Kluyveromyces lactis: one gene and its partner. The protein of the gene in region 2 interacts with the protein of the main gene of each other region in a biochemical or structural test. Links are inferred from orthologs where the notes say so. Each region holds a gene or a part of one and is shown on either strand. Other genes may lie near its edges.

Region 1 (4,112 bases), on a different chromosome or scaffold from region 2:
AAGACAAAAAGATCTTGGAACAACAGAGTAAATATGCTACATTTTTGGATAAAACTATCAAGGCGTACCTATCAGGGAATGCAGATACGGAAAATCACGACATTTCCCAGCAGTTGCTTGCCATGCTAAATGACACTACTCTTCCGATACTGGTAGTTGAACTAATAAAAGTGCATTGGCTGGTATTGAAGAACGTCATTCAATGCAGGAAACACTTTACATACTTCGCCAAATTGGATCCGATCAAGACTTCAGTCTTATTTTGGTTGACTTACTACAAGTTTGAAAAGACTCAAAAAAATATCGCCAGATTAACAAAGTTTGTCGATCAATTAGGCACTGAGATCGTATTACCAACAAAAGTTATCAATGATATCGTACGAGATTTCCAAGGGTTTTATCTAATCAATGCAGATTATTCCGAGTACGAAACCAATTTATCGCAATCCCGTTTTGGGTTTGACCCAATAGTTCACAATAGGTTCAAAATCAACAACCCAACATGGAGGCCGAACGCCAAGCTAACCAAGGACTGGTATAAATCAGAAAAGTATAGATCGAACGGTCATCCTGGATTGTTCATTGATAAGCCTCAAATTAAAAATACTATAATAGAGACGCTTGCATCGAAGCAGCTCAATCCAGCACCTTTGCCTACTTTTAGAAATTTAGAAAAGATCCATCAGAAACCTAAATTTGATGATTACATGTCTATAGATTATTTAAAGTAGTAGCTGAAAGGGCATTCTCACACTCAAGCATTTTCATGATCCTAGAATTTTTTTAATCATTTATATACTGTCACTTTGCCTTCCGATAATGCTTACACCATTCCGAGGAGAGCATTTGCCTGTGACTTGATTATCACCATAAACTTCAATAATAGTGAGCTTTTCATTGTCCTTGGATATCTTTTCCACAATTTCATTATCCACACAGTGGACAAACCCTATATTTAGCTGCTTGAGGTTAGGACATGCCATGAAGGTGAAAGTTTTGGATGTTAGGGATTTCAGACCATTTAGATTCAACTCTTCTAAGGTGGAAGAGGAGTTAAGTAATAATTCAACTACGGCTGCATCCTCCAAAGCAAAACATCTTTTCAAGCTACATCTTTTCAACAAAGGGAACTGCAACGAAGAGAATAATAGAACTATGCCGTCGGTGGTTATCTGATCCAATTCTTCTAATTCCAAGTCTGTAAGGATTGATTGCCCTGAGTTAGACAAAAATGGTAAAAATCCATTAATTATACAGCTATCAGTCAAGCCAGTGCATCTATTGAGCGACAACTTCCTAAGGTTCTGGCCTATGGATCCTAACAAACTTATAATAACCTCGTCATTAATATCTGTTTCTCTAGATGGCTCTTCCAAGATCAAAGTGTGGAAATTAGGAGAGTTAAGATATTGCGGTAATAGGGCGTAATTTGTCACAGTATCTAGAGTTGCTAGACCTAGAGATTCCAAGGACGATCCACAATTTCGAAGCATAGCTGACAATGCATTATCATTGAATCTATGGGTATTGGAAACATGAAAAGCAGTAAGTCTACCCTTTAGCAATTCGAAGAATTGAACCCATGTATCCTCATTAATTAAGAACGGTCCATCAAGGTATAGTTCTTTTAGGTTTGGTAGCTTTTCGGCTAGATACAAGAGAGCTTCATTATTTAACTGTCCACACATCTGTAAGGAAAGCGACTCTAAATGCGGCGAAAAGATGGCAAGTCTCTTGTAGCCTTCATATGACAACTTTGAACAGTCATAAAACGTCAAAGTAGTTAAACTGGTGTTCAAGAATAACTGTAAAGTATCATCATTCAAGGCCCGATTTTTTGTCAAAGCTTGTGCTAGTTTGTTCAAGTTTTCTAAAGATACACCACCTAAAGTATCTCTAATATGTTCCACCATCGATTGTGCATTATATTCCACAATAGATTTACCGATAACTTTAATACATATATCCTGCAATGATGAAATGAGTGAGTCCTTCTTGTCTAAAAGATTGGCAGCCTTCTTTCTTCTAGTTTTCTTCTGTTGATGGCGAGCCTTAGCTAGTTGCGGAGAAGTTTTCTTACCATTAGTCAAGGTCAACATCCTTTTCTTTCGATCAGAAACCGGCAATACTTCTTCTTCCTCATCAGAATCTTCTAGGTCAGCACCACGTAACCGGCGAAGCCTCGCCTCTGCTTTGTAGTCATCGTCATCTTCGTCGTCGTCGTCCTCATCATCATCACTTTCTCCGGAAGAAGACGACTCCTGCTTCTTAACAGCTCTGGGCTTTCTTGACCGTTTTTTTGCAGCTACCCCTGCTTTAAGATCTTCATCAGATTCTGTTTCAGAATCATCCTTCTGAGTTTCTTGTGGATGTTCGGCTTCCTTCTTTTGAGCTTCTAACCATCTATCTCTAATATTCTCAGCACTAATACCTTGTTCCTTTAAAAACTGGGTCAAAGCACTGTTTGGTCCTCTTACGCCACTACCATCGTTGTTCCGACGACTCCTTGCTCTATACATGTCGATATCTCGTGGAATAGCCCCTTAACCGCCAGTCGAGACTACCTTATCTACCAGCAACTTCATTGAGATGAGATGAGATTAAGTTTTGATTAATTATTTGCTAACAATAATTTCAGACACTGCAAACAATAATGATGCTACTGATGAGAAAAAAAGCAAGAGATATGCGAGGAGAAGTATGCTAGAAGATTCACGGAACCTGCAGGTGGGCTGTTAGTTATTCATTCTCCACAATACAGTTGTTTGAATCAGGCAGTTTACATTATATATTAGATATATGTGAAAGTATTAAATTTTAGTATTCTCCCTTCAAAGATCACCTCCAATGAGAAGTAGCATCTTTGTACAACGACTGCCATATGTAAGCTTCACTTAGTAACATTTCTATATCAGATTCCTTCCACGATTTTGTCGGTGGATTTTGTAAGAATGTAATTATCTCTTGGAAGTCCATCTTCATTAATTCGTCTGACCATTTCACTAGGAAAGCTGCACAAACGAAAACATGAAATTCACTGAGAGTAGTTTGTCTGGAGTCTGAAGATGAGGGCCCTGATGACGATGTTCTCGACTTTCTATCCAGAGAAGTCGATGCGTCAGACATGAGATCCTCTGAGACTATGCTTGTCTCCAAAGAAGTCTCGGAGAGGTATGTATCCCACATTCGTATCACCATTGACATTTGGAACTCTCTCATCAACAAACAGTTCATCCATCTGACACTAAATTGTAAGAATTCAACGTGCTCAGATTCGAAATGGCTGAATAAATCACAATCTATTCTTTTCACCAACTGACTGAGGTGTTTGACTTGTTTCAATATTCCAGGCTGACCATGGATGAAATAATCTGTGATTTGTTCCAAGAGTTTGGATAGACACCAGAAACAATCCGCTTCTACATCAGACAACTGCTCTGCAGTCAAATACGTCAGCGGATCTAAACTGTAAACGTCATCCTTTGCCGATGGTGAAAGGTATTCGGACAAAAACACTTGGAAAAAAGGTGTCACTAGATCGTTGATCCCCTGTACGTAACCACTGGCAGGATGTCTTATGGCCCAAAAATACAATATCCGTTTCAATGAATTATGAACTGATTCGAATTGGTACAATGGAATATGTGGGTTGGTTCTCGGTATGTCAATTTCAATTTGATGCCAAGTTGTTACATCTTTCTCATGGTTATCGGAAAAGATATGATCTACACCCTGCTTATATTCCAGTCTTTTACGGTTCAATACCTGTTCTTGTCTCTTCAAATTACTCGGTAAGTATCCAATCAAAAGCTTCCATACAACAGGTCTATGTACCATGGGGATACCATTCCAAGCCAACTTACGGATCTCGGGTAGGTTCACCTGCGTGGTGGAATCCTTTGGTTTGATCAATTTTTTGAACTTTTCAATTCTAACCATCAAACTATTCAACTCTTGCACATCCTTCTCCACTTCAATCTGATACTGTAATTTCAAATCATTACTGATGGTCCTATTCAAATTTGGGATAGTTCCTTGATAAGAATCCATTGAGGATTTCTGTGATTCAATGGCTCGATCGTCCTGTATCACAGCTGGAGGCCGCAGAGTGG
Region 2 (4,807 bases):
CTACCTATTCGATACAATCCAAACCTGGATATCCAATCTGTTTATATTTTGCACACAAAGAAAAAAAATTATAAGTAGAAAAATAGTATAGTACAAGCGTGTGAGAGTGTATTCGTGCTATTTCCCAGGCTATAAGTCTGAATATTTCTTGCTTTTAGTAGACCAAAATACAAACCCTTTACGTCACACTTAAAAAATAACCTGGCTCTCGCTATTATCACTGAGCTAAAGTACGATCAATCGTTCCAGGTTTATAACCTACTATCAAAATACAGAACCAATAATTCTCGCAGATCTTCGTTACCTATTTGTGTCCTTCTCTCCAAAAAAAACAACAAAGATGTTGACAATCAAACTTAAGTATCGTGTTAGTAGAATTCTAAACATTTATTTATTTCAATTTTTTTTTTTCTGTTTCTTCAAAACCAATGCAAACGTTTATTTGTTATTTTTAATTTTTTTTTTTTTTTTTTCAACGGAATCTGCGGGCGTTTTTAGCGGAATCTCTCAGTAATGTCGACATTTTGGCAAACCGTCAGTTTTATGTCAAGATGCTGTATCTATTTAGTACTATGTCTACCCTATATCTAATTACTCTTGTGTATGAACGTCTCCATTGAGTCTACTTGTACAGGTAGGTCTGTGGAGTAGCTCTTTATTTTATCTCCTGGCATATAGAATCTTCTCTCTGACAACCTGCATCATGGAAGAAACGATAAAATATCACAGGATTCTTGCCTTCTTCTATTACGAATCAAAAACTCGAGGGGTGATAATACGAAGTGGAGGGAGGCGATGAATTCACCCTGACCGGGGAAAAAAAAACTGATGTCTGTGTTCGTGTTATCTGCTGCAAACACTTCTCTGTTGGATTTTCAGTGGAACAGAGGCAGGTAAAGTATGCAAAGCATTGGCGCTCGCACCACCATGTTAATCAGGCTTACTTCATCATTGCTTTTTCTTTTTTTCTACTGTTTCCTTTCTTTCTCTCAGCTGTAAGTTTCTGTGTGTGAATGTTCGTTTCTATCTTTTTTTTTTCCCTCGAGTGCTTAAGAATTGCCTTGGGGCTAATTCTAATGATATTACGGTATGCGATTTGCCAGATTCAGCAAATATGCGAGTCGTACGTTGCTTCTGGGACGAGTTTGTGATGATGGCTTGAGTCGACGTTTTTTTCGAAAGAAAAAAAAAAAATATTTCGTTACCTTCGCATAACAGCCGAGACGGTATGACAGCAACACCCTTGTATACCATGGAGTGAGCGAAGACGCGTGGTAGTGTACAGTGTAGAGCGTACGGTTTTTATTCCTATGAATGAGCCACATCTTTTGGTCAATTGGTCACGTGATCATTCTGATCTTGTTGTTTCTCCGAAAGAAATATTGAGGTACGTACGTCACCTTGGCAAGTTTCTCCGCCCGGAACAACTCTGATCTTGATTAAAAAGAAACGACTGCATTTTCCTCGAAAAAGAAAAGGTATTGATGTGATTTTCTACATGGCTAAACATTTACCTATGATGATGGATCCTGATTCATTTCTGATGAAAAAAGCGTTTGCTGAAGCCCGAAATACTACAAAGGCTAACCTTAATACATTGTTGCAAGCTTGGAGATACTGATTAGCATCAGCAAATTATAAGAATACACGCATCAAACAAGGGAACTTGCACTGATCTCTGAGTTGAAAATAAGATGACGATGGAGGAAGGTGGGTTCATCAGAAGGACAAGGCAGAGCGGGAACCGGACTCGAACTGCCAAGAAGAATGTCGTATACATTGAATCAAGTTCAGGTGAGTCCGAGGATGAGCCATTAGTAAAGAAAGAAATTAAGAGCAATAAGGGTAACGCAAAAGCCAATGACAAGGGCAAGTGCAAAACCAAGGGCACAACTAAGGCAAACCGAAATTTGGATTCGGATTTAGAGTATGATGATTCTTTGGTTCTCTTATCGGATCAGACGGACAGATCTGGTGATGAATCAAGTGATGAGCTCAAACGTGAACAGGTAGTCGAACTGATATCCTCTTCTGATGATGATGAACCTCTGCAAAATGGACCGCAAAAGAAGAAGAGAAAGGCTAATGGTAGGGCTGGTGGTGCCACTGCTACTAAGAAGAAGCCGACAAAACCCAAGATCTCTCCTTTCGAAAGAAACACAGCAAAGTTGTATGCTCATCATTCAGAACTTATCGATGTGTTCAAAAAATTACAGGAATCGCCGATACGGCAGGTGGAAAGAGCTCCTCAGCCTGATGGTATGGCCATTAGATTATTACCTTTTCAGTTGGAAGGTTTGCACTGGTTGCAACAACAAGAAGAATCGGATTATAATGGTGGTGTGCTTGCTGATGAGATGGGTATGGGTAAAACCATACAAACGATAGCTTTGCTGATGAGCGATATCACAAGGAAACCATCTCTTGTCGTGGCACCAACAGTGGCGTTAATGCAGTGGAAAAATGAAATCGAACAACACACAAACAAGAAATTATCCGTATACATGTACCATGGAGCTAATAGAACGAACAATCTAGGTGATTTCAAAGACGTTGACGTTATCTTGACCACTTACGCTGTTTTGGAATCCGTCTATAGAAAACAAGTTTATGGTTTTAAAAGAAAGGCTGGAACAGTAAAAGAAAAGAGTTTATTACATTCTATCAACTTTTACCGAGTAATTTTAGATGAAGCTCATAATATCAAGGATAGAACAAGTAACACTGCCAAAGCTGTTAACTCCCTCCAGACGAAAAAAAGATGGTGTTTGTCTGGTACACCTTTGCAGAATAGAATCGGTGAAATGTACTCTTTGATTAGATTCTTAAACATTGAACCATTCACGAGGTACTATTGCAAGCAATGTTCTTGTTCATCTGAAAATTGGCGTTTCTCAGATTATTTACATTGTGATGACTGTGGTCATGTTGGTATGCAGCACACAAATTTCTTCAATCATTTCATGTTGAAAAACGTTCAAAAACATGGCATTGAAGGACCGGGTCTACAATCTTTCCAAAATATTCAGACCTTATTGGCTAGGATCATGTTGAGGAGAACCAAGGTGGAAAGAGCGGACGACCTTGGATTGCCACCAAGAATCGTTACTGTTAGAAAGGATTACTTCAACGAAGAGGAGAAGGATCTCTATCAAAGTTTATACTCGGACATCAAAAGGAAGTATAACTCTTATGTTGAGGAAGGTGTGGTTTTGAATAATTATGCTAATATCTTTACCTTAATCACTAGAATGAGACAGATGGCGGACCATCCTGATCTAGTATTGAAAAGGCTCAAGGGAAATAATGATAATAACCCCGGTGTTATTATCTGTCAGTTATGTGATGATGAAGCTGAAGAACCAATTGAATCCAAATGCCATCATAGGTTTTGTCGCCTCTGCATCAACGAATATATTGATTCTTTCATGGCAGATGAAAAAAAACTAACATGTCCGGTATGTCACATTGGACTCAGTATCGATTTACAACAACAAGCTCTTGAAGTTGATGAAGAACTATTCAAAAAGCAAAGTATTGTCAGTCGGTTAAAAATGGGAGGTAAATGGAGGTCCTCCACTAAGATTGAGGCTTTGGTTGAGGAGTTATACAACTTGAGAAGTGACAAGCGCACGATCAAGTCGATTGTCTTTTCCCAATTCACATCAATGTTAGATCTTGTTGAATGGAGATTAAAACGTGCAGGTTTCCAAACAGTTAAATTGCAAGGCAGTATGACTCCCACTCAAAGAGATCAAACAATTAAATATTTTATGGAGAATATCCATTGTGAGGTTTTCTTAGTTAGTTTGAAAGCTGGTGGTGTGGCTCTTAACTTATGTGAAGCTTCGCAGGTGTTCATCTTAGACCCATGGTGGAACCCCAGTGTTGAATGGCAGAGTGGTGATAGAGTCCATAGAATTGGTCAATTCCGGCCAGTGAAAATTACAAGATTCTGTATTGAAGATAGCATAGAGTCCAGAATTATCGAACTTCAAGAAAAGAAGGCTAGCATGATTCATGCAACAATCAATCAGGACGAGGCGGCAATTAATAGATTGACTCCGGCAGATTTGCAGTTTTTATTCAACAATTGATTTTATATCAGGATAAAATACATAAAGATGCATACTTCTTTTTAGTTACGGATGTTTATATACATCCATATTTATATTAAAAAGTATACTGTCCCTTAAATGTTTTCAAGCAGCAGCGGAACTACTACGAGCACCAGCTCCTGAAGAAACTAGCTTGATTTGCTCTTCAGACAATGATATTTGAGGTAAATTCAATTCACCAGTCGTTGGTGGAGGAGGCAAAAAGCCTACCTTATTCAAAAAGGCAATATAAATACCGATTTGTTCTGGGGTAGCTCCTTTCCCTGAAGAAACGTCAACACCTGTCCATTTTTTATCTTTTTGCAAGGATGAAGTCGCATTTGTATCATCTAATTCAGGAGCCCTGGTGTTCTCCGCTAAGCCATCCAATACCATATGTAACAATGGATACAAGGCATTATCTTCACCTCTTGCGATTACAGAATGTTCAAGAGATAACTTCCAGTCTGCATATTCTTGAATTTCAACGTTGTAGCCATACTTCTTCAATTGGTATAGATAATCTTTGAATAGGATACGCGGATGGCCCGTTACATGTGCAACAGCTAGCTCATGTTCGTTAGGAGGATTGAAAGCACTGGCTGTTACAACACGTGCTACATGATCAACAGGTACCATATTAACTGTGTTGCTGATGTTAGGGATTTGACCCAACTGTACCACCCCCTTTAAGAATCTTAACAAGAAAT

Evidence for each region. The genes of interacting proteins can lie anywhere in the genome.
Region 1: the proteins of RAD16 (region 2) and RAD7 form a complex in vitro, tested with the Saccharomyces cerevisiae proteins (2 studies listed by BioGRID). The link is inferred for Kluyveromyces lactis from reciprocal best matches to the Saccharomyces cerevisiae genes RAD16 and RAD7.

The regions. Positions count from the first base shown.
Region 1 is NC_006037.1:709,638-713,749, reverse strand, and holds RAD7 (UV-damaged DNA-binding protein RAD7), read right to left. Parts: upstream 2,520-4,112; coding exon 792-2,519; downstream 1-791. Other genes in the region: PRP39 (Prp39p), read left to right, coding at 1-731; GTPase-activating protein GYP1, read right to left, coding at 2,839-4,112. UniProt on the Saccharomyces cerevisiae protein: Component of the global genome repair (GGR) complex which promotes global genome nucleotide excision repair (GG-NER) which removes DNA damage from nontranscribing DNA.
Region 2 is NC_006038.1:809,468-814,274, reverse strand, and holds RAD16 (DNA repair protein RAD16), read left to right. Parts: upstream 1-1,700; coding exon 1,701-4,097; downstream 4,098-4,807. Other genes in the region: LYS2 (L-aminoadipate-semialdehyde dehydrogenase), read right to left, coding at 4,203-4,807.